Lytechinus pictus: one gene and its partner. Each later gene encodes a partner of the first gene's protein in a complex. Links are inferred from orthologs where the notes say so. Each region holds a gene or a part of one and is shown in the gene's direction. Other genes may lie near its edges. The genes, in order: DNA-directed RNA polymerase I subunit RPA2-like and RNA polymerase I-specific transcription initiation factor RRN3-like.

What was found.
Region 2: DNA-directed RNA polymerase I subunit RPA2-like (region 1) and RNA polymerase I-specific transcription initiation factor RRN3-like share a complex: the UniProt entries of both Homo sapiens proteins name them as parts of the pol I pre-initiation complex. The link is inferred for Lytechinus pictus from reciprocal best matches to the Homo sapiens genes POLR1B and RRN3.

What each region holds. Positions count from the first base shown.
Region 1 is NC_087257.1:11,049,847-11,062,659, reverse strand, and holds the start of DNA-directed RNA polymerase I subunit RPA2-like, read left to right. Parts: upstream 1-7,202; 5' UTR 7,203-7,293; coding exon 7,294-7,365; intron 7,366-8,706; coding exon 8,707-8,841; intron 8,842-10,105; coding exon 10,106-10,180; intron 10,181-11,004; coding exon 11,005-11,124; intron 11,125-11,629; coding exon 11,630-11,770; intron 11,771-12,813. Other genes in the region: elongation factor 1-beta-like, read right to left, coding at 92-214, 1,651-1,690, 2,370-2,514, 3,557-3,679, 6,933-7,012. UniProt on the Homo sapiens protein: Catalytic core component of RNA polymerase I (Pol I), a DNA-dependent RNA polymerase which synthesizes ribosomal RNA precursors using the four ribonucleoside triphosphates as substrates.
Region 2 is NC_087254.1:4,770,960-4,783,660, forward strand, and holds the start of RNA polymerase I-specific transcription initiation factor RRN3-like, read left to right. Parts: upstream 1-6,384; 5' UTR 6,385-6,637; intron 6,638-12,701. UniProt on the Homo sapiens protein: Required for efficient transcription initiation by RNA polymerase I (Pol I). Required for the formation of the competent pre-initiation complex (PIC).

The sequences.
Region 1 (12,813 bases):
TCACATTTATTTTTGTTTGGCAGCCATTTCAGAAGTGTACAGCTTTTTCTTATAGACACACTGTAGATAAATCAACTTTTAAGTAATTTACCTGCACCCCATAGTAGACCGTCTTGCTCAATGGCACGAACTTGCTTCTCTATATCGCCAAGGTCCGTTTCACTATCTTCAGGTTTCACATCAAAGAGAACGCTCGATTTACCAATCACTGGTTCTGTAAATATCAAGAAATGTATCAGTAAAATTTGACAGTCTACATGATGAAGGTGGTATTAAGATAATGAAAGATAAATGCCAGTTGTAGCAATCAATCTTAAAATGAGTTAGAACAGAATCTGATTTTAAAGGTCAAGTCCACCCCAGAAAAATATTGATTTGAATAAATAGAGAAAAATCAAACTAACTAAAGGTTAAAAACTTCATCAAAATTGAATGTAAAATAAGAAAGTTATGATATATTAAAGTTTCGCTTATTTTTCACAGAACAGTGATGTGCACAACTCAGTGACATGCAAATGAGACAGTCAATGATGTCCCTCACTCACTTTTTCTTTTGTTTGTTATTGTTCGAATTATACAATATTTCATTTTTTACAGATTTGTCAATAAGGAACAACTTGACTGAACCATATAGTATTAAACAATGCTAATTCTACATGTTCATGGAGGAATTAATCGTTGTTTCACTGGACAATGAGAAAATTAGAATATTTCATATTTCTCACAATGAAATACAAAAGAAATAGTGAGTGGATGACGTCATCAGTCTCCTCATTTGCATACCGACCAGGATGTGCACATAACTGTTTTGTGAATTTAAGCAAAACTTTAAAATGCCATAACTTTCTTATTTTACATCCGATTTTGATGAAATTTTCAGTGTTATGCTTGTTTGATTTTTCTCTTTTTATTCAAATCAACTTTTTGTTGGGGTGGACTTGTTCTTTAAAATGACCACACAAGTGTTGGGACAGTATCAATAGAAAAAGCATGTCTTATGATGCTGGAAGAAAGTGAGTTCTGGGTCTCGTCTTACAAAGAGTTGCGATTGATCCAATCAATCTCAACTGTATGGAAATCCATCCATACCATAACTTTTTCGTTAGAAAATTTACACAATCTCCTTCAGTAAACAAAGAGAATCAGTGAATCTTCAAAAGAGCAAGGAATGTATGAATATACATGATATCTCAAAAATATTTCGAACAAATTTGAATTTTAGATGTTGACTTTGCTGGCCGTCCATATGAGGTTGATTGGATCAATCGCAACTCTTTGTAAGACGGGGCCCTGTTTAATTTGAACTCTGGCCTAAGGTTGTGGTTTAACTATGGAAAGCCAATCATGACAGGTATATCCAAAAGTACAAGTTCAGTTTGTTAGCCAATTTGACACTCAAATCATTCATAACTGACTGGGAATAATAACTGAAATAGTTCTCTCCATCATTTAGACATGAGCGAAGAAGAGACAGGAAACAGATAACACAGACCTGTGCAATTTCAACATTTTGGCTCCCCATTATTTTAACTTTGATCAAGGTCATGGATTTATAGTGCAAAGACAAAAGACTACCCTATGCCTGTTCATATGGACAACTACCTAGGTTCAATAAATCAGAATATCATAAAACATATGTCATTAACTTACTCTTTGCATTCTTTGGCTCTAATTTTTTTGGAGGTGGTTTCTGTAAAACAAAAAGAAAACAAAAATCAATAGATTCTTTGATCAACAGGATTTAAAGCTTTTAAACAAATAAATTATATTTGAATAAATCAATCTATACAAAAGTCATGTAAAAAAACTGTCATGTAACGTTTGGGCTCGGGATGAAAACCCGGCTTGAACCTGGACTGGAAGGTTTTAATAGCAAAATTAATTTCCGGGTCCTGAATCGGCCCGGAACTCGGAGCCACCACTCGACCGATCAATCTCACAGTCGCTGCGCCTAGCGCTTGCAATACAGCCTGGTGTCCCTTGGTGCGTGCTTACTAGGCTGCCTATATCTAGCCTCTGATCTTCAACACATCATTTTTAAAAACCACAATAACTTGTTTCTCCGGGCATGTATTGAATTTCCATAATTCCAGCTGAAACTGGGACGTAATTACCCAAACCCAAGCTCTCTTCAACTCGATCCTAGAATTAGCATCGATTTCACTGGCACGCCATCATGCGCTGAATGTATGTACAATCCATGAACATCTTTGAGATTACAAGGATACTACAGGGGCAATGAGAGACATGCATACGTACGTGTTCAATGGACATTTGCAAAACACGCCCAAAATCAAACAGGGCCTAAACCAAAGAATGATTTTAGCCAACTTGTGGGTTAAAAAATAAAGAGTTTGTATGACACTCACAGTTTCCTCCTCATCATCATCATCTGACCCAAAGACGTCAAAATCGCTGTCGTCACCATCTTCGTCGTCGTCAGCGGGTTTCTTGGATGCAGTTGGAGTGACCGCAGGACCGTACTCACTGATAGCTTTGGCTACCCCAGGTAGGCTGGTTTCAAACAACCAAAAAATAAAAAAGAAATAAATCTTAAAACAACGTCTCTTATGTAAAATAAGATATAATGTACACCCTGTACGCATCAATAGGGATTATATTAATCCAAGGCTATGGCCTTTTATATCCTATTGATCAGCCTAAATGCCCCTATCATCATGGATAGATACATTTTTCTTAATTATTATACAGGCGAACCTGCAAATGTCAAATCTTATGGGACCATATTAGAATTCTGTTTGACTTGGGCAAAACTCAACTTGGATTATGTTAAAAAAATCTTTTCCATTTTCTCCTGAGTTATATATTCCCTGCACAAATAAAATAAAATTCAATTCATTGAGAAAATGGCTTTAAAAAAAATGATATCACACAGCCAATGGAGCTGCTCGTTGGTCATGTCACAAAATCAGATGCTTATCACAAACAAATTTCCATCAAATCTTCACAAATATTTTTCTCTTATTTTTCTGCTCTAATTTAAATCAAATATTATCAGGGTGAACTTCACTTCCCCTTTAATTAGGGAAAAGCGGGCTAGGGCAAGTTTAATGAGACACTGTACATAAACCTGCACAACAGTCAACAGTACAAAAATACACCAAACGGCACTCACACTAGTGCGAGGTTAGTACCTTATTTATAATAGTATACTAACCTCGCACCAAGAACCGCGTTTGGCAGTGGATTTCTAACTAGTGGGTCGCGTGTGCTGTGACGCCACTTCTGGCATCCACCACACACGACTTCTATGGCTTGATTTTTCTGTGCGCGGCGGCATTACAGTGGCCTGTACTTACGAGTGAAGAAGAAGATTTTGTTCCGATTTATGCTAAAAATGACCCTGGAAACTTGAATAAGGGGCCCTGGAAAATCCTTCTTCATTGCAATGTAAAAAAATCCAATGTAGCAGATTTATTGGGCAATAATTTGCAAAAAGGAGCCCCTGAAAATAACTGTTTTTTTTTGGCTGCCATTGATGCATTAGCCCCATTTACTGTACATTCATAAGGAAAAAAAGATAAATTACACACACCTAGTAAATGTGGAAGAATACGACTTGACTTGATTGTACCATCTGAGTGCGTTGAAGAGGTCTGCTGCTGGGCCCCCAGTCAGTGCTTTGAAAACGACAACATCAGCCTGGGATACAGTGTACCTGAAATTGGAAGAGAAAAGTAACTAAAGGTAAACTGATGTAAATTCTTTTCATTCATTCGGGTGTGTATACTATAAATACATAAAGGTTTTTTTTTTCATGAGGGTAGTAACAAAATCTGTAACCACAAGCTACATTGTACGTTGATTGAGTCTAGATGCAACTCACAATAAAAATAACCCTTTTAATTCAAAGTAGGTTCTAAAAATAAAATAATACTAGGGTGGCACCAGATTTGTGCTGTAGACATGTGTCAAAAAGTCAATAGGTGAACTTGCCTCAAATTTTCATTCTATATTTTGAGTGAACAATGTAGTTAAATGTGGCAACATTTTCTGGCAGCCAAGTAATGTGACATGTTTCCATGGCTCCTCACAGAGGCTCAAACAGTCTATAAAGACTTAAAAATGCCTATTTTCAGCCACTAGCCCACAAAGTATAGCCTATGGCCTGGGGATGGGCCAAAATGCTGTATGTATGCATTTCCAGACACATTTTATGGCGCATTTAAGCCTTATTTCTAACTATTTAGTAGGAAATTTCATGGTCAGTTTTGAGCAATGTCTTTGACAATATAATGCTAATAAAGAATATATAATAAAGGTAACGCTTTTTAGTAGAAATGCCGTTTCATTTTTTTTTGCCCTATCTAATAGTAATTCAAGATTTGTATAGCGCACTTTCCATGTTGATCTTAATTAGATGCTCAAGGCGCTCAGAGCGGAATAAAATAATTGTTTTCTAAAAAAACACATAAAAAACAATCACATTCTTTTTATGTAGGCCTACAATAGGCTACATGTATGTTGATTTAATCTTAGACTAGGGTGTCTGGAGAATTTTTTTTTCTTATTTCAAGGAAATATCACATTTTCTTTGTGAATTTGAAGAGAAAAAACCTTCAGACTGATAGAAATGTAATATTTTTTGAAAAAATCCAATTATTGGCTGCAAAAAAGAAGAATGAAATTAGGTCAATTTTCAGCATTTCCCTGCCATATTACTGTGTAGTTAAGAAATGGACACACACAAATCCTAATTTTTAGCTTCCGAGAGCTGTTATAAATTTATTATTAATGCCAAAAACTTGTCCATAAAGTGTCTAGTAGGAATTTTTATGCTCTTTCCGATGGTATGATTTTTATAAAGATTTGGAAACCAGATCACAATGAAGAATTGCGACAAAGTGAAAAAATTTGTGCAAAACAGAAATTTCATTTTCCCATAGAAAATGCATGGGGAAATAACAATCTCAACACACAGACAAATAAGGGTTTGCAATTTATCTCTAAATCCTTATTTCAAATAATCCTATAAACTTGTCCTTACTGTCAAAAGAAGCCCCTGAATTTTCTTTCAATACATGCCAAACAAAAGTTAATAATCAATTCAGATCACATTTTTTTAGCAGCCTGAATTTCCTGAAAAAAGTGTGCCATATTTTCCCCTAAATCAGCCTGTCTTATGCTGACACTTTTCAGTGTGGCTTCAGACACCCCACTTAGACAGGAAATAAACAACTAAAACCTGAAAGATGACTTGAATAAAATAAAAACAAAAGAAAAATCACACACCAAAATTTTTATTATCAAAAATGGATGTGAAATAAGAAAATTGTGTGAGTTTTCACAAAATGAAGGTGATATGACAGAGGTGCTGGTCAGAAAATTGGGATCGTCCCAGTTTACAGGGACTGTCTCAGTTTTCAAAGATTTCTCCACACAAGAAATCTAACGTAGGAAAGTTCATTCACCTGTGAAGTGCCGATTGATGTCGGCACTTCACAGGTGAATGAACTTTCCTAAGTTAGATTTCTTGTGACATCAATCCAGTGCACTAGTCAATGTAATGTAAACATATCATCAGGTTTCATAACAAGATTATTGGAAATGGAAGACAGAAAGTCATGAAATATAGATTATAGTCATAGACATAGTCCATAGACGGTGAACTGGGGGAATTGAGGTCACTTAATCTATTTTTAGCACTCTCAATCCCGCAATTATCGCTACCCCAAATAGCGATTTTGCCGAGATCCGGGAAAAATCCCTGTAACGCGCATTGCATTATGGGATAGCTTTTCGGTATTAAAACTTCCTGTTCGGAAGTCCAATGCACTGTTTTGCCATTCAGATCAACAGTGCCGTCATGCACAACAACACAACGTCGCTTTCGCTCGGAAAGTTCGTGATCACAACCCTCTCTTTCACGATACAGTTTAACGGCCTTTTCTGCTAAAGTCACTAATTCTGCCTGACGCTTTCCATTGCACGGTATTCCTCTGTCAGTTAAGATTTTTTAAAGTTCCAAAACTGATTTTTTTTTTATCCATTTTGTGGTCGACGAAAAATTGAACGGAATGAATGCTGTAGGCTATATATTAAGCGTCTAGTCGAATACGATCGTGATGTCAGGCCGGTCGCTAAATGCGAAATTTTAAGATACTCATTTTTTGTTTAATTTTTTATAACCAAATAAAAACATGAATAAAAACTATTTTCACATGAAATATATTTTTTATTTTTATTTATAATTCAAATGGAATCAAAACTGACCAAATTAGATAAAAAGTATTATAATCTGTACATATCGCTGATTGGCATCGATTTCAGCGTGGTGGAAAACTCAGTATCGCGAACCTCGCGCGAGCATGACTCTGAACCGGAAGTGGTGATGACGACCCGACGGAGTGAAAATAATCTCGTCTCGCGCATTATGAGATTTTTGTTCCTATTTGGGGTAGCGAGAATTGCTGTCCATGTCCCGCAGGGCTAAAGTCACTAAGTGAATGAAGAGAAACTGTCCCAATAAACAAGGACAATCTCAATTCATCAAGACATGATTTGTCTTGCCTTGGTTATGACATGATGAGGATATCCTTGTTTTCTGAGACTGAGTGAGAGTGAGACAATCCCAATTTTTGGACCAGCGCCTCTATCTACCTGTCTACTGACAGAACCAATCACACACAGCAGTATAATTATCAATAAAAAACCCATTGTGGTTTACTTTCGTATGCTAATTTACTATTAACATTTGATATCCCAATCATGCCTATGGTACCCATCTCAACTTGAACATCGCAGTGGCAGTGCAGGGCAGACACAGCACGCAGCTCAGACTCAGTTAACCCAGGGAGCTCCCGCCCGCGCGGGCGGGAGCTTCCTGGGTTAAGACTCAGTCAGCTCACGCCACGCCTCGCTAGACGCTACCTCGTATGTTGTTGAATCTTGTGAAATAAAAAGAAAATTACCCTTCAATGTAACTGCGATCTGATAGGAAATCATTAAGGGCACCGAGCCCACTGCTGCTTTTAAGATCACCGAAACCCATTTTTGCAAGATAAGTTTGTTAAAAGTCGGAGTTGAGACGAGCAGCAAGTGAATCACACGTGTACTTTTCAGGAAAGGATGAATAATTGGATGACTCTGGAACTGGGCACGCACAGCACACAGTATACATACATTGAATGTAAAAAAGGGGGGTTCAGCGAAAAAAAATCTCGCATGTGCGAAACGTCGATGCACTTGCGCTTTGCCAAACAAAACTGCAGTGCACTGCAAGTGCGAATGGAATTGTGAATGTGGTAAGGTGGTCGCCCAAAATTTGTCAAAATGAGTGATACACCAACTTACCGTAACTTAACAAATGGAGAATATGGGAGACCGAAAGAGTACCAGAACAAGGTTGATATATCATTCGTTTTAAATCTTGAATTTACCATGTAATAAGGAATGTTTCGTGTGCATGATTTGGTGTAGTGTGAGAAGTTGTAATATTGTGTACATTAAATCAATGCCACAGCGAACCGACCTGAGTGCGGATATTAGGCTCCATGTTATAGACAGCTGGCAGCCGTCTGTTTCGAGGAGTTTTTTAAAAACATTTTTATTTTTTTTTATTTCTCGTACACAGACGGCTCGCTATCGTGCAGCCACCATTAGGGGGTTAACAATGCAAAATCCCCCCGACGGGGCTCATTGATTTTTGTCTGACTTAATTTCATAAATATATAAAAAGAACTGTACGTGTACCAAAACTAAAAAAAGGCAAAATAAAGATTATTAATATTCCGTTTTGGCCTGAAATGCACCAAAACGGGGAAAAATAAAATTAAAAGGGGAAAACACAGTGACTTACCTCGGCTGTCGCGCAACTTCACTTCCCTGTTTTATCCGAACTAATAATTACATGAACATATTAATATTAATTATTATAAATGGCCATAATTGGGTCCCTGTACAGATTGAGCTACAACTTCAGTCTCTGTATTTGGTGAGTGGAGCCAACGGAGTTCAGCGGAACAACCAACATACCAGAGACTGAAGCTTTTGGTCTAGGTCCATGTTATGATTCAGTGACATAACTGACATACATTACAGCTGACGGAATATAATCTCCTCCACTCACCGGAGGAGGGAGACGAAGAAGTATGATTTCATCACCTGCAATTTTATTATCCTTGAGCTCCCTGGGTTAAGTTTTCACGTGCTACTACTTGCAAAAGCTATTGTAAAGTTAGATCTTTATAATAAGGAGAGCGTAACGTTAGAGCTTGAAGTTAATGTTTAAAAAAATTGAAAAATCTTATTTAGATACCTAACACGAACAAAAGATGTAGAGACTCTAGACTTTAAATCTGATTTTTGTCTCGTCGATCGTCAACAAGTCAAAAGTTTAACTTTTTGAAACCTGGACATATAGCTAGGAGTAGGATATTTAAGTGTCACCAATCATGGTTACTGATCATTTGAGTTTCAGGTATACAAGTCACATATCACAATTGGGGTCAATGAACTTTGTCCTTGTGGTACATGTATCTTAAATTTAACAAGTATAAGATATTGAATTTTTAAGATAATTTTGAGAAATGAGTACATGTACATGTTCATAAAACTGATGGTGATTGCAGGCCTGGCCTATGCTACTATTATGTTCTTCTTATCCTTGATGAAGTTAGAGGTTAATACATGGCTGGTGTTTACAATTGATTTTGATTCTGTCTTTTTTTTTCATTGTGAAAACAGCTCCTAGAAGATGCAGTGCGCCCTCACATTGAATCCTTCAATTACATGCTTGACGATGGATTAGCACAGGCAGTGAGGAACATCAATCCAGTGGAGTTCCTATTGGATGATGAAAGAATTTCACTTTCATATGAGGTATCATTAGAAAAGATTTGAATAGTATTTTGAAATCAAATAATATGATGAAATCTAATTTTTTTTTATCAGTATGAAAAGTTTGATTTGATCCAAAAGATTCCAGAGTGACTGTGGAAGAAGATAACACATGAAGTATTAAAAAAACAAAGTAAACATTGTACTTTTGCTTGATAGATATCAATGTTCTTATGTTTCTGAATAGCTGAGTAGTTTAAATGAGAGAAAGTTGGAGACAGAGTTTTACTCATGAAAACATTACTCTGGAATTGCCATTGCATATAAGTATGAAAATGGGGCATTATACTGGTACACTGTATATGCACAAGTATGGATTGCCATTAATAGTAATTTTCAGCTATCTTGTTTCATTCTAATTTCTAAAATGATTCATCTCCATCTTTACCCCCAAGTATTCCTTATATAAAAAAAGTGAAAAAATACTTCTTTCTACATTTTCCTTAAAATTCACATGAAATCCCGCCTCATCCCAAACTTAAAGGGGAATCCAACCCAAATAAAAACTTGTTTTTATAAGAAAAAGAAAAGTCAGACAAGTTGATAGGTGAAAGTTTGAACAATATTGGACAAACAACAAGAAAGTTATGAATTTTTCAAAGTTGGAAATATTGGTAATCACTATACTCATGGAGACTTCAAATTGGCCGCATATGGGATGTCATAGTGATGTAAGGCAAGGACTACTCTTCCATGTACTCCACTACATATTATGGCTAAAATGTCATTTTTCCTCAAAGTTTTATTTCAAATTGTATTTTTCTTTCATGAGGACATTTAACAATATACTACCTGGGTTATATTTAGATTACTGCCCCAGGGGAATGGGTACTTAGGAGAAAACCACAAATCCCTGATAATAAAGTACATGGCCTATGGGAAGGTTGTCCTTGCCCCTTGTCATAATTTACTTACCCAGTTGCCAATTTGAAATCTACATACTATTAGTGATCCCAATTTTAAAGCAGCTATGACTTTCTTATTTCTTGTCCGATTTATTTCAAATTTTCACCATTCTGTTTAATTTATTTTTCTCCTTCCCAACACAACATTTTATGACCAAGGCTGGATTCCCCTTTAATTTCATCTTTATCCTTTCTGGCCCATAGTATTCCTATCCCCTGGGTCACCTGTATATCACAATATGCTCTGATGTTGTGAATGTCCTGTTCTTAATTTTATTGTTATTTATGTTTTTTTTTTCATAGGATACATTCATTCTTTGTGATTGTTTTTTTTTTCATAGGATGCATTCATTGGTGTACCAACCATTGCAAGAGGAAACCTGTTTGCTTCTACTCTTAAAGTCTACCCATCAGAGGTAGGTTCAGGGTGACCGTTTCATTAAAGTTGTCAGCACTGACAAATTGATTGTCTCTGACAGTTACTATAGTAACAGTCAGAGGCCAGTGCCTCTCAGCCAATCAAAACCAAGGATTTCACTGAAATTATCAGTACTGATCCTTCAATGAAACTCCCAAAGGTCGCTTGATTTCTTTTCCTCTCATTGGCCCTGAGAAATTGGTTATTTTTATCTTTATTTATCATCGAATATCCTTGAAAATGTGTTGCGAAAGCCATCTAAATTTCAATGACTAAAATCAAATTTCAGCTATAGGTGAACAATTCGGGATTATGTGCAATGTACATTGTAGGCTAATCAAAATGCCATTTATAGGTAGATATGCTCTTCAGCAATATCTCGAAGTGGCGGGTTATCTGTAAAAGTTCATTTACATTTTAAATCTGTCATCAGGATCCACGATCAAAGATATGGGAATGTTGTTTAGTCTATAATGATAATGACGTCCTTTTATAGTGCGTAACACCTTATCAGAAGTCTCTAAGTGCTCAATAATGATGCAGGGTGATAACCCCAGCTTTAGCAGAGCAGCTGTTAGGCACACTCTGTTTCAAGGGCTAAATTCCTGCCAAGTCCTCATTTACATGTACCTCACCTGGGTTGATTGCAGCAAAATCTGGATTACTTTCTTGCCGAGGGAAATCAATACCGCTGTACATCCTGGAGAAGGATTGGAACCAATGACCCTCTTGGGGGAAATGTTGGAGTGAGAACCACTACACCATGGCAACACCTCCAGAGTGATTGTAGTTGCTTAAAAAAATAAATTTGTTTCCTTTTAGTGTCGACAGCGTGGGACGACGTACCAGGCCCCTCTTCAGGCAAGGGTGCTCTGGCAACGAAGCAATGGGGACAGTGGGAGTGTCATGCGTCCTCTGGGCCAGATACCCATCCTTGTAAAAGTAAGTCAATGAATCCAATCCAAATCCACATTTCATTGTTTGAAAATAGAAGTCTTCAAATAGAAATATTCCGAAAATTCTTTTTGCCCAATTCTTCTTGGCCCGGCAGCCACTGTGCAGCGTCAGATAAACGAGATCTATCCCTTCAATGTTGAACCCCAGACAGGGTAGCAGCAACTCCCAAAATACATCTTTTGGTCTGATGCTCCGGCGTTTGAACTCTCGACCTCCCGGTTGTGAGACGGACGCTCTACCAACTGAGCAAACACAGTACACCGCAATACAATTCAGGAAAGCTTTATCATACCTGCCAACTGTAAAGAGAAAGTACTAGTAGTATTTGTTGAAAATATGACATGAATAAGGTGGTACAAAAGGACATAAAAAGAGATGAATTGGTTTTGTACACTCTTGCACACATTTTTCTATTATTATGAATTCTTGAAACCTGCTGAATAAATGATTAGTAAAGAAATAAATGAATGAATTCTGTACTTTTTTTCAGTGTAAGAATTGCAATCTTCACAACCTACCTCCCAGTGAGCTTGTAAAAAGGAAAGAAGAGGGCTCTGAAATGGGAGGTTATTTCATCGCTAACGGCATTGAGAAGGTCATCAGAATGCTCGTCATGCCAAGAAGAAATTTTGTAAGTAGCCAAATTCTTTGCTAAATTGTGTCTAATTTGTGGTGTTTTCAATATTACATAAGGTGAGTATCTTTGAGCTGGCAAAAAATTCTTCATGTAATTTATTGTTTATTATTATAAATGAATGTTTGGTACGGCAAAATCAGTAAGAAGCACTAATCAGGAAACACTAATTATTATTATTATTTGTTTGGCGTCACCTGTGCCTGGGAGGCGAAGAGCGAATTGAATCACTATGACCCGCAGGTCTCTCCTGATATAACTGATTGGGGGAGTGCAGGTGGACCACTACGCCGGGTTTCCCCTACTCTTATACGAATAGTGCAGTGGGTTCTTAATGTACAAAGGTGGTGACTCTCCTCTACACGGGGCCTCCATTAACGTCCTATCTGAGGGTCGGAGTGTTTTCCATTGTAACATAGCCTGCATCTATGAAACATGGGAGAGACGTTTACACACAACGCACTGGCTTCAGTCATCCGCATGGGATGGACTCGAACCCACGATCTTTGGTTCGACGGGCAGACGCGTTACGGACTGAGCCAACAACGCTCTCTAATAAGCTTTCCGACCTGCACTCATCAGAGTAAAATTGCATGAATAAAAAGTATTCTAAAAGCTTCAAATATCTCCATGTTCAGTGCTATTTAAAATTTACTTTTATATTTCAACTTTGAAATGAAGATATCATGATGTGAGCAAACATATTTTTTACATTTGTTGACTCAACCTTTGCCCTCAATAAAAGTTTTACCTTGTAGTAACAAATTTGAAAGGATAAGTTCCAGTGTATTATCAGTTCTGGGGGGTGTTTCACAAAGATTTAAGTATGACTTAGAGTCGCACTTAAATGCCTAGTTAGGTGCAGTATAAAAGGCATGACCGCATTGGTCAGATCATGCTAAGAGGATGCGCACTACTGCGTATTGATCAATAAGATTGCGCGTTGCATATCATGTACGCGTCGACATTTAAGTGCGATTTAAGTCATACTTATTTCTTTATGAAACACCCCCCTGATATGATAATGTAATTTGCATAAA
Region 2 (12,701 bases), on another chromosome or scaffold:
TCGTAAAAATTGAAATATTGTATTATTAAAACAATAAAAAACAAAAGAAATAGTGAGTGAGTGACATCATCAACACTCTCATTTGCACATCACTGAGTTAGCATAGAACTGTTTTGTGAAAAATAAGCGAAACTTTAAAATGTCATAACTTTTTCATTTTACATCCAATTTTAATGAAGTTTTCAGCGTTATTCATGTTTGATTTTTCTCTATTTATTCAAATCAACTTTTTTCTGGGGTGGACTTGACCTATAAAAACAAGATAAATAAGGAAGGCATCATGACCATAATAGTCTGTAATTACAGACGCTTCTGACGACAGGCGCGTAGCCAGGGGGGCGGTGGGGGCGGTCGCCCCCCCCCCCCCAAACGTCCCCAAAAGAAAAAAAAGAAGGGAAAAAGAGAGGGGAAAAGGAAAAGCGAAGGAAGGAAAGGGAAGAAAGGTAGCTTTGTGGGTTTTTCTTTTTATTCTTTTTTTTTTCTCAAAAAAGAAACTCCTTCACTCTTGCTCTAAATTTATATATACATGTATGAATTTTGCTTCCGCGCTGCGCGCGGTTAAATGACAATATTGCAGTTCTCCTTTGTTTCCCTCACCCTTTCTCTATCCCTGTTTTTCCACCTCAGCTATATGTGTTTCTTGCCAGTTAAAAAGTTCAAATATATACATTAGGGCATGAAATTAGAGTAAGGATAGGCCGAAGTATATGAAGTTATCTTTTCTTTTTTTTTTATTGATCGCGCAACTTCTGGTCGGGTCGTCTCTGGGCGGGTAAAATCTTTATATCAATTTCTGGCGTCACCTCCATATAGGCAACTTCTCCCGCTTTTCAGCTTATTACTAAACAACCATAATTTGGGGGCAAACAGGTTCCTAATTTAAAAAGAGGAAGGTATACATTCATGTCGTATTAAATAAAAAAAAAGTACAATATTTTTTATCAAATTCTACTAAACTTCATGTCATTTCCCTGCACATTCATCTCCTGTCCTGTTTTGCGCCCTCAGTTTGAAATTTTGAATGACACTTAAATTTCATTATCATTTAAAATGAAGCGCATCAGGATAAGTCAAAGAAATTATACATCATCCTGTTTTATATGATTTCAATAAATCACAGAAGTTTCACATTTTTGCGCACTATTTTCTTTGTAATGAAGTTCAATAATCTTAGAGGAAAAACAATTGAATTAGAGCCAATGGGGTATTAGAGATATCTGCATTTGACGAAACGCCCGCCCTTTGAAATTTCAGAGTTTCATTGCTCTGCACGGGGAGGAATATCTTCCTCCCATCCTTCCTCTCCTCTGTTTTGCGAGTTAAGATATGCACTGTCGCTAAATTGTTTGTAATCAAATCTGATCTTTCCGAGGGAAGTATTCAATATAACTTAGAGAATACCCTTTTCTCGGGACCCTTTTCTTTGCCAAAAAATTGACAAAACGCTTTAGCTTCCGCGCTTCACGCAGGGTTAATAATATTTTATTTTCCTCCATTTTATCCCTTTTTGTGCGTTCACAGTCACTTTCGAAAACAAGGTTCAAAATCACAATATAGTCAACTGAATTATGGGTTAAAATAGGTACTAGAGACAAGAGAGACGGCTCATTTTCATTTTAATTTATGAAACACCGAAATCTTCGCGCTTCGCAAGGGAGGGGGAAACTCCCCCTCCCTGCACCCACCCCCTAGGGAGCGCGCTTCGCGCGCTTTATAGTGTTGACACGCTTCGCGTGCATTTACCGCCCCCTCCAAAATGAAATCCTGGCTACGCGGTTGTCTGACGAAGTCTTATTAAAGACGAAAGCTAAAGCTAAAATGGTATCCTGCGTCATCTTTTTAGTTGGCCTCATCACAATATATATATATATATGTATGTGTGTGTGAGGGTGTGTGTGTGACTGTATATAAAAGAAATATGGTAAATTGTGTCTCCCCCCACTTTTGAGGAGAGATTTCAGCACCCCCACTGAAAAAAAATCGTTCCCAGGGCCTAGCTGTGTGCCCCCCCCCCAAAAAAAAAAAAAAAAAACTTTTATCCAATGACCGACCAAATCAAACGGGCATCCAGTTCCAGTTCGAATTTATCATAAAGTCTGGCATATATTTTATTATAGCTTGGAAATATATTTTTATGATGGTAAAATACATTGCATGGGGACACATACAATTTTGAAAATAAATAAAAGGAACGGTATATCATCCAGGATGGTGCCATCATTATGTAAGGTTGGACAAAACATGAAAATTCTAAAATGCTCACTCAATTAGCTTCTTAATTACAGTCTTGCTAGAATTGATGTATTTCAAGGACTTTCTGTATTTTGAGTATAATGTAAAATAATCATGAGAAAATGTGTAAATTTGTAGGTTCATCAACACCCTGTGCGGTACGTGGCTTGGGAGGGGCCACTTCCATTGACGAGTGGATACCATGCGCGACCACGGGGTTTTGAAAAGCACCCTATACACGTATTTTCCATATTCTCAAAATGCACCCCTTAACAAGTATTGGCGTGTGAAACCTTACCCTTAACAAGTATTAGAAACAAATACTATTGGCAATTATTCCCAGAATTGAGCCCCTAAACAAGTACGGCGATGTATTTTCCATATTCTGAAAGTGGAAACAAAACGATATACTCTTGGCAAGTATTCCCTGAAATGAACCCCTAAACAAGTACAGCGATATTTTATTGTTATGTCACTGGTCCGTCGGTCGTCGGTTTTACCTTTATATACACACCATTATTTTGGTTTAGTCGGCCCCACCTTCCACACCTCGCGCAAATCGGACTCTAAACACGTAGTGTTGGGGCAAAAAGGACATCCTTTATCAAACATTTTTATTTTGTTTTATCATCCCCGCATATTTGACCCTAAACACGTATATATTTCCGCGCGAAATAGATACCCTTTTATTAATATTTTTGTGTTTTTGACACCCTTATCACGTTACGTAAGTAACGTGCCCTATCTTGAAAAAGACATCCTTTTTACGTGTTTTTTTTTGGTCGCGCATGGTATCCACTCGTCAATATAAGTGCCCCCCCCCCCCCGGGGGGGGGGGGGAAGGTGCATGGAATTAGGATCGAAAGCCGACCAGAAGTTTTCAGAGATAGGCCCCTATAGACTTCACATTATTAAAAAGGTTTTACTATATAAATTTTGATGTCCATGGTAAGATTGTATTCTCATCTCTAATTTCCAACAGCGTAGTAAATCGTTCACGCATGGCAGCTAGATAACGAACAATAAATATTGCATGTATTGAGACATATCAGAAACGAGTTGCGCACTAGAAACTCACGTGTGAATCTGAATCCACTCTCATTTGAGGTATCAATGAGAGAAGAATAGAAAGTTCAAGTTCAAGTTTATTTCAAATTCTACAAAAAATACATGTCATCAATGAAGTAACAGAGAGTGTGGGCCCGGAGTGTGGGTAAATAGGGAATCAGCATTAAGTGAAAATTGTAATTGATTATTGTACTAATAATACCAATTATGAGGGAAATTAGTTTTCTGTAAGTATATAGACAAAAAATAAAACTTTCTTTACATATGACCATGTTATTTGGAAGAGTATTGGGAACATATAAGAAGATATATATATGTATATATATATATACATATATATATATATATATATATAATGTGATGATAAGTTTACTCCTACCAATCGCTGTTGAGTTGTGAATATCAAACATACCGAGATAAGGCGAGGCCAACTCAACAGATGACGCAGGACACCATTTTTTGCTTTAGCTTTCGTCTTTTAATTGAGACTTCGTCAGAAGCGTCTGTAATTACAGACTATTGTGATAGTTAAGTATGACCCATAGAGATATATACTAATCTCTATGGTATGACCGTATCCTATCTCGTTCTTTCCTAAAGAACGAGATAGGATACGTTCTGTAATTACGCTAGAACTGATGACGAAGTCTCAATTAAAAGACGAAAGCTAAAGCAAATAATGGTGTCCTGCGTCATCTGTTGAGTTGGCCTCGCCTCATCTCGTTATATATATATATATATATGAAATTGGTGCCGGGAATTGGTGAAAGCCTGACAGTAGCCAGTGGCCACGTTGTATAAGGGGACACCCCCCCCCCCCCCCGGCCCCGCGCGCTATATAGCGCCAGGCCAGCCGACAGGTGTCATAGGCGAATTGGCCCGGGTACCGGCGGTCCAAAACGGCTAGCTTATTAGTACCGCCAGTACAAAACGGCTAGTCGATCGGGCCCGCCTGATCCAAATGACTGGTTCAAATTTTGGCCGAAACGATAGGAGAGCCGCCGTTTGGTTCCACATTTATCAAATCTTTCTAAGGTAGATATTTACTTTGATAAATGTTTCAAAATATATATTTGTGTAATTTTTAATGTAATTTGAATATTATCTTAGAAATAATTATTTCTATATTCTGTTTAAAGCCAAAAAAGGTAATAAATATATTCTATAAATATATGTTTTGATCAAATGTTTCAATATACATATTGGTGTAATTTTTAATGTAATTTTAATATTATCACAGAACCGATTATTTCTATAATTCTGTTTAAAATTAAAAATGTTGGTCTAGATAAGAGGTATTTCAGCTTCGTACGATACTAATTTAGTCTACACTTTTTTGCGCATGCGACATGCGTATATTGCAGCGCTGGACAGTTGACACACGGTACCGTTCCACTTCTCTTTTTTGGAGTAGGAGCTAGTTTTTAAACAATATTTTCCTTTTTTATTATTAACATGGACCGTGATTTTTTTATCTAATGCGAGGACATCTCGCACTACCTTAAGCATGGGGGCTATCTGTTTGCACACAATACCCCTTTTGACATATATTATTCTCTGAAAATTGTGTCAAAATCTATATATCACAAATTATATTTTTATCATAATATGTCAACATTTTGCTCGCTCGCAGCATAGAAAAATTCGTACACCAAGTCGACGCGTCGGTGCCATTATACTTCAATGATCAATGAAAAAAAATGAAAATACATAACTTGTAGCTTAGTATCTCTTATTGCACCAAGCTTTGATGATCGTATAAGCTACGACCAGTTTTGAGTCGTCATAAATAAAATACACCTGTGTGTGTGTGTTTTCTTATGTCAGCACCAATTAAAGCCCCCCCCCCCCTCATTTACACAGGTCAATTTGATGCCCCCTAAGTAATTTAATGTCAATTTGTCCCCCCCCCCCCCAAACATGAATGCGCCCGAGGCCAAACCCCGGGCCAAACATCAAATTGCCGCACAAAGGTCGAACATAATTATGATCAATTCGGCACCTCCTTACAGGTCACACTTCAAATGGTATCCCGGCCACGCTCTTTTATAACCTTTTTAAATCCCCCTTGTCCCCTTGTCCCCCTTCTTTTTTCCTTTTCTCCCCTTTCGGTTTAATCCCCTCTTTCCTTTTCCCCCCTTTTCTCTTTGTTACTTTCTCCCAATTAATTTTGCGATCTGTTCTTCGAATCTCGCTTTTTTTCTCTCCCTTTTATTTTCATCTATCTCCTCCTTTTTGGCACCTCCTTTTTGGACTACCCGGGTTTGTCTCAATGAGGTGTCACTAAGAGTTCCCTGTGTTTTGTGCAGCCTTGATGGACTATTAAGCTTTTAGTTATTTTATTTATATATTTTTTTCTATACTTACTTTGGGGGTTTTGGTGAGCACGCAGCAGTGTTTACCCCCACCCACCCTCAGCACACCAGTCGCCATCCCGTCCTATTTCTTGCCCCGGTTTCTTACTTGAGTAATGAAGACCTAGATCTATACAAAATCGAAGTTCACACCCCAAATATAACAGGCGTGCAAAGGGAGCACTCAGTGTGAATATGGCTTCGTGGCCCGGCCCACACAGCTGTAATCAATCGGAAGTGTGCTAAAATAATGCATAAATTATATATTTCCAAAACATATATACATCTCTATGTCCCAAAATAAGATTCTCAAATCGGCAACTGTAATGTTCTGTCGATATGGTTAATTTGGAGGAGCCAGTTGGTTGAAAAGTGTCAACGTTGAATGAGCGGCGTCTAGGAACAAATCGCCTGGTCGGAACAAATCGGCTATGACGATCGCATCACACAACAATGTTGGAGGTGCCGTGGCCGAGTGGTCTAAGGCGCGTGGCTATACATGGAAAGTCCGGGGTTCGATCCCCGGCCGCGGCACCTATGCCTGTGAGCAAGGTATTTAATCTACAATGCTCTTTTATCCTGCCTTCAAATAAATGGAAATGCTATATGCATTATTGGTAACTCGGTGTGCACTTGTTTAAAAAAAAAATATTCGGAACTAATCGGCGGATAAAAGAGCCACCGATTAGTTCCTCCGGCCCTGAACGGCTGCCCGGCCCAATTCTTCTATGACACCGGCGCGGCCGACGTATACGCGTTATTAGTATACATCTCTATGCCTAGCCTATGGACGTGACTTCGATAGGTCTTTAACTCATGCGCAACATTCCGCGACGAAGTTACAACACGTGTTGAAAGTGAACTAAATGAGGGCTTGTTTTATGACTTTACCATCGACATTGATTCAGTCAGCATTGAATGAGAGTATTCTTTGGATTTCAAGCCGATTGGAAAGTCTCAATAACGCAGTTGATGTAGTTTAGGTGAGTACCGTATGGATGGAACCTGGCATCAAATTGATCAATTCAATCGACAGTACAGTCCCATCTGTGCACTTTTGTGTTGTCATGGTCAGATGTAGACAGCTGGCAGCCGTCTGTTTTGAGCACTCTAGCCTCTAGGCGACACCCCGTGCTAATAAACTGGGACTCCACTCACGCGCGTTTGGGCCTCCCTAGCTTAGAACTAAGCACTAATATCACCTTAAAAACTAAATCTACAAGGTATCTATAATCTATTTACAACTTTAATAATGTTTAATCGGTACTCACCGGTTCTTTTGTTGCATTTTCAGACCATTTCTCACAATTCTTCGTAAATATTTGCGGCAAATTTTGTCGCCATAGACAGCTTAGCATCCATCTTTATTGATAAATGGAGCGCCCTTTACGATAGTTGTTAATGCCGCGGAGAAATCGTTAGGCATTTTGACCTGTGTTCAAGGCGTTCTTTCTGTTTTATTTTTTATATTGAAGATTGTGCATTTGTTGAATAGCGCCGTCTACGTCAGGTATGAGATCGAGTGTATAAATACACTCTTCCAAAATAATTATGATTCCGACCTGGCGCTGTTTAACTTCAATCTCTTTCACCTAAATTAGCGATGAATGCTAGCATTATAAAATATATATTATTAACGTCTGACGAAAAGAATAACCAACCGATCAGCTGACGAGAACGCGAATCACGTGATCTTCATATCAGCTTCGATCGCGAGTCAGAAGAGAAGAGCAGCTGCCCAGAAAATCAGGAAAAAGCCGTGAAAATGTAAGTTCCCCTTCATTTCTTTCATTTTTTGTTGTTGCTAACGATGCATTTACACTATAAAATTATAATTTAAATAAGAGAAAGGAATATAGCTTGTACTTGTGATATAATGTATAAATATCCTGTTCTCAGAGATTTCTAACCAAAAATACTACTGATGTCGCCTATGAGGTCCATACATGTAATGTTGGACCTCATTGGTACTAGGAGTGGTTTTGAGGAGTTTTTAAACATTTTTTTATTTTTTATTTCTCCTCGTATTTGGTGAGTGAAGCCAACGGAGTTCAGCTGAACAACCAACATAACAGAGACCGAAGCTTTTGGTCTAGGTCAGATCAGGGACTCGGTTTTATAATTATAAGGGGAGCAATAAAAAGCTCTCCTAGAACTTTTAAGGAGAGCGGTAGAGGAGCACTTCAAAAAGCTCTTCTTCAACATACAAGGGGAGCTTTTTGCCCAATTAACAAAATGGATGGAGGAAATGTATGTACTATAAAATTACAATCAACAACCAAAGGAAGTATTTATAATTGTTTTACAATGTATTGTAATTAGATTGTGTGTTGTAAAACCTGTTTTAGTTAGGTTTTGACTTTGGCTAAAAGTTAAGTCACTGACAATTTTTTTTTTTTTTCGGGGGCTCCATTTTAATTTTTTTGTCAAATTTCGGGGGCTCTTTTTAAATGCTACTTTTTTGTATTTTGAGGAATACCTGTTCATTTATTAAGGAATTATTACTTTTTGTTTAATATTGTATGATTTTTAAAGTTATTTATCATGTTTACAATCTTGGATGTGGGTGTGTGTGGATGGGTGGGTGTGTGTGTGTGTGTGTGACTGTGAGTTGGACTTGGATATAAATGAATTCAATATCTAATTTCTACTCCATTTATTCCAGTACAATACCCTAGTCAGCCATGTACATGTAATAAAGGCCCACTTACCCTAACTTTTCCTGAAGTTCTTTGAAAACGCAGATCTCCATGAAAATTTAATTTCTCTATGGGGGAGTCTAAATTTGGTGAGAATGTATTCATTAAGAACTTAAATATACATGACAATGAAGAAATCATCAAACTTTATTGGCAGTTTTGAATAATATTCCTGAAATGTAAACTCTGTCTGAAACAGAAAATCACCATCATTGAGGCCTTTACTGAGCGAATTGTCCCCCAGAGCTCTGGCAGAGAGACAGAGCTCCAACTGGCTAGCTAGTAAAAGCGCCAATGCGTGAGCCTGCCGCCGTCCTTGTAAAAAAGATGGAGCTTTGTTTGATGATTTATTGTCTGATATAATACCTCATCCCCTAGAAAAAGAAAACAAATGACTTTTTAGTTATAATTGATAAATTAGATAACTTATTTTGGAAGTTAATAAGCCGTTTTGAAAAGCAAAGCCGAATGACAACTCACCAATGCTAGGTTACTAGACTCTGGGATTTATTTCCTGTGTAATTAGAATTATTTTATCACAGAATTGTGATATCTGTAGGGGAAACATGTGCATTCGAAATGACACACGGTGGTAGTCATAATGGACCCCTATACATGCAACTCTTTCCCGACCGTTGCGTTGATTTTTTTTTCCATACCTGGTACCATGTGTATGGAAATACGTGGTACAGAAAAAATAACGCAACTTCGGAATTTGAAACTGCGCTACTCTCTACTTTTAAGGCTTATTCGTGATTTTGAGTGTGGATTTTGGATGGTTTTTAAATGGTAAGCGGAGCTCGAGCATATGGCACTAGTGGGCCGTTGAGTTGTTATCACTCGGCAATAATTTTGGGGGCGACATTCAGATTTTATGTCGCCCCCGAAAGCATGATTTTGGGTGATTTCGAGGGCGACTTTAGGCATTTTCGCGCAGGTCAGCTATCGCGAGGCGCGCTATTAATCGCGCTACCAAAAATGGATTAAGGCGCGCATGTAGCGCGCGATCGCTCTCGCGCGCCTTAAAATCGAGTCCCTGGTCAGATGATGGTTGTATTTATTAATATTAATAATTTGCATTTAAAAATAATAAATTAATATAACCTTGGTATCGATATACTGAGTGCACATGCGTGAATTTGGCTGAGCCTATTTATTTTGCGTGAAAATCTGTTTTCTTTACCCATGCCATCGGTAGTCGATCGCGATCGGCCAGTTTGTTTGCAATATGAATATTTGAAAGCGAGCGCGAGTGAACGAACGCTGCCTTTTTTGTTTTTAGTTCCCCCTTCTTGAAGGTCTGGGCCCTGCCTCAATGTCAGGATTCTGCTGAAGAATCAAGAAATCTAGGATAGTTCATTCTCCTGTCAAGAGCCGACATCATTCAAGTGCACTAGTTTTAGGTATGTGACAAAAAAAATGAAAATCATCAAATATGAATAAATTTGGTATCACTTGAAAGCTCTTATTCTTAAAAAGACCTTTAAAATGATACCAAGAACTTTAATTTTCATCAAGAAATTAGAAAGTTATTCCAGTTTAAGTTGCGCATATTCATCCAAATTTGTGGTCATTGTCTTAATGTAAAGTCAATGGAGTACAGAACCCATTTTTGTGACCATTTTGTGACCATTTTGAACCCAAGTCTTCAACAGGTTCTAACTTCTTTGTTTTTGAGTCCTATGAAGTAATTTAGGTATCAATGGAAAGGTGAGAGAATGCTCAATTGATGTATATCAATTCATCTTGTAATTTTTCTTATTATGTGTAAAATAATTTCTTCTAATTAATTCTAATTAATTATGCAAATAACACAAAATCACAATTACTCGCCTCTTTTTTTGCCAAATGAAGGTGATTATGATAGATAATTCATATAATTTAGTTGGCATCAAGACAGCATCATGTAGATAATTTCCTAAATGAATTTGTCTAAAGTATTGTTATTGTAATTTCTAATGTATTTCTTTGTTTTTCTGATATAAATTACAAGCTCTTTTTCAACTTAGTATTGTAATTTTGTATATGTGTATGTACGGGGGTCCTTTTTTACATATAAAACATTTTCTTTTGTACTTTGTATGACCAAATAAAAATATGTGTGCTTTTTTCTGATGATTTTGATTGTTTCACCAATTCCTTATGTATTCTATTGTTTCAACAATTTGTTATGTAATGTATAATATGTAGCTTTTGATTTGAGAGACAATGGACATGTGATAACATTTTTTTAGAAGGAATGAGCAGCTGAGTGTAAAATATGTATGTAGAATTGTATGCAATTTATTTCAAGTATCAAGAAGGACGAAAATTAAGTTTTAATATATTCTATCAGTTGTCAATGTCTTATATTTGTATACATACATTGTATTACTAAGGCCCTGTTTGAGCTCTCTTTTTAAAGAAAAATAAATAAATTCAAATTATTAGTCGAAGCCAAAAGAAAAGGAAAAGAGTGGTCTATTTCTTTCAAAACAAAACAAAAAACAACCAGGAAAAATATATAACAAAGCTCTAAACAACAACAAAACAGACATCAAAGCTCCAAACAAGCACTAAAAACAAGAGAAACAAAAGTGACACAAAAACTTGTACCAATCCCATCCCCATTTTCCAATTCAAAACACAACCCCCACCTGCGCCCCTAAAAAAAGAAAAGTGAATAAAAAAATAAATAGTAAAATTAATAATAAAGAAAACATAAATACATGACTTAGACCCATCTGGAAATGAAATATTCTTTCCTCTGAGTTTTCATGTATTTTCTTACAAGAGTGAAAAAATTACAACAAAAAAATAAACAACATCTAGTTCGTGCATTTTAATAAAAAAAATCAACATTTAAGATATTCTCCTTTCAAAAGCAAATCCAGTCTCCTAATAATGAAATATGACCCCCCAAAAATGAAAAAATAAACAATACAATAATTTAAAAAAGAAACTGAAAAATTAACAATTTTTGCATTTTAATTAAAAAGTCAACATTTATGATATTCCCCTTTCAAAAGCAAATTCAGTCTCAAAATAATGAAACATGATTGAAAAGTTTCAAAATATTTTTTTTTCTACAAAAGAAAAAAAAGAAACACTATAGATTTTGCATTTTAATTCAATAAGTCAACATTAATATTCCACTTCCAAAAGAATCCAGTTTCCAAATGATAAAACATGATTGAACAATCAAAGTAAAACATGTTGACTCTATAACCTTAGGAGGAAAGAATGTTTTTGTGACAAAATGTATATATTTAAATCAATATCAGAATAACAATCTACGGTATAATGACAGACATTTTCAGAAAAAGGCACAATATTATCAAGTAAACAATTTAGATCCAGTTCAATCCAGCATGAACGACTCACTATCGACCGCTCCCGTCACCAAGCCCTCCGCATCGGGTACCGGTAGCTCGACTGCCGAAAGACGGACGGGAGCCCACCGCATCGGGCAGCTCGACTGCCGAGAGACCGGCTGTGACAAGGGTAGCTCGCTTCTCTTATATCTGGACAGCTCAACGATAGAATCTTTTAATTTTAATTTTTTTGTTGATTTGAATATATTCTATAACAATTCAGATACATAATTGGATCGTAGTTCTACTTTGCGCATCCAAAAATTTGATGAACTTTCAAGCTCCGATATCCACACTTCACAGGCGAGTATCCACATTGAAACTTATATGTACAGAAAGAGCACATTTTCAACTGTCTGTATCAAGGCACGAGATTGCATCAACTATGTGCACATGCGCATGAAACCCCATTTTCGATGAGCCTCCCAGACAGAGGCGATGCCACTTGCAGCGAAACCCGCGCGAAAACCGTGCAGCCAAAACCAGCGCTCGCGATGCGCCCGTATTCGCACATACCTACTAGTTTAGTAATATCAGGTTTCATAACCATTTATTACAATAGTACAAGATTATTGGAAGACGGCAAGTCATGAAAAATAGACGGTGAACTGGGGGGAATTGAGAGGTCTCTGAATCTATTTTTAGCACTCTCAATCCCCATAATTGCCGTCCAAGTCCCGCAGGGGTCTAACGCACTACCGTCGGTGCAGTGAATGGGGATGATAGTAAAATATCAGAAATTGTGAAATAAATCCCCAGAAACAACGGTTATTCCTGTCTACTTCACAGTAGAGGCGCACGGCCAATATTGGAGACTGTCTCCAATGTGGGAGATTATCTCCAATATCAGAGACTTTTGTAAAGAATTTGGGTATCCAATTTCAGAGACAGTCTCCAGTTTTGGAGTCCAATTTCCTTCGTTTACATTTGCTGCAAAAGGATTAACTTGGCGGCAAATAAAAATGTGATAAGCAGATTCCTCATGAAAAATTACC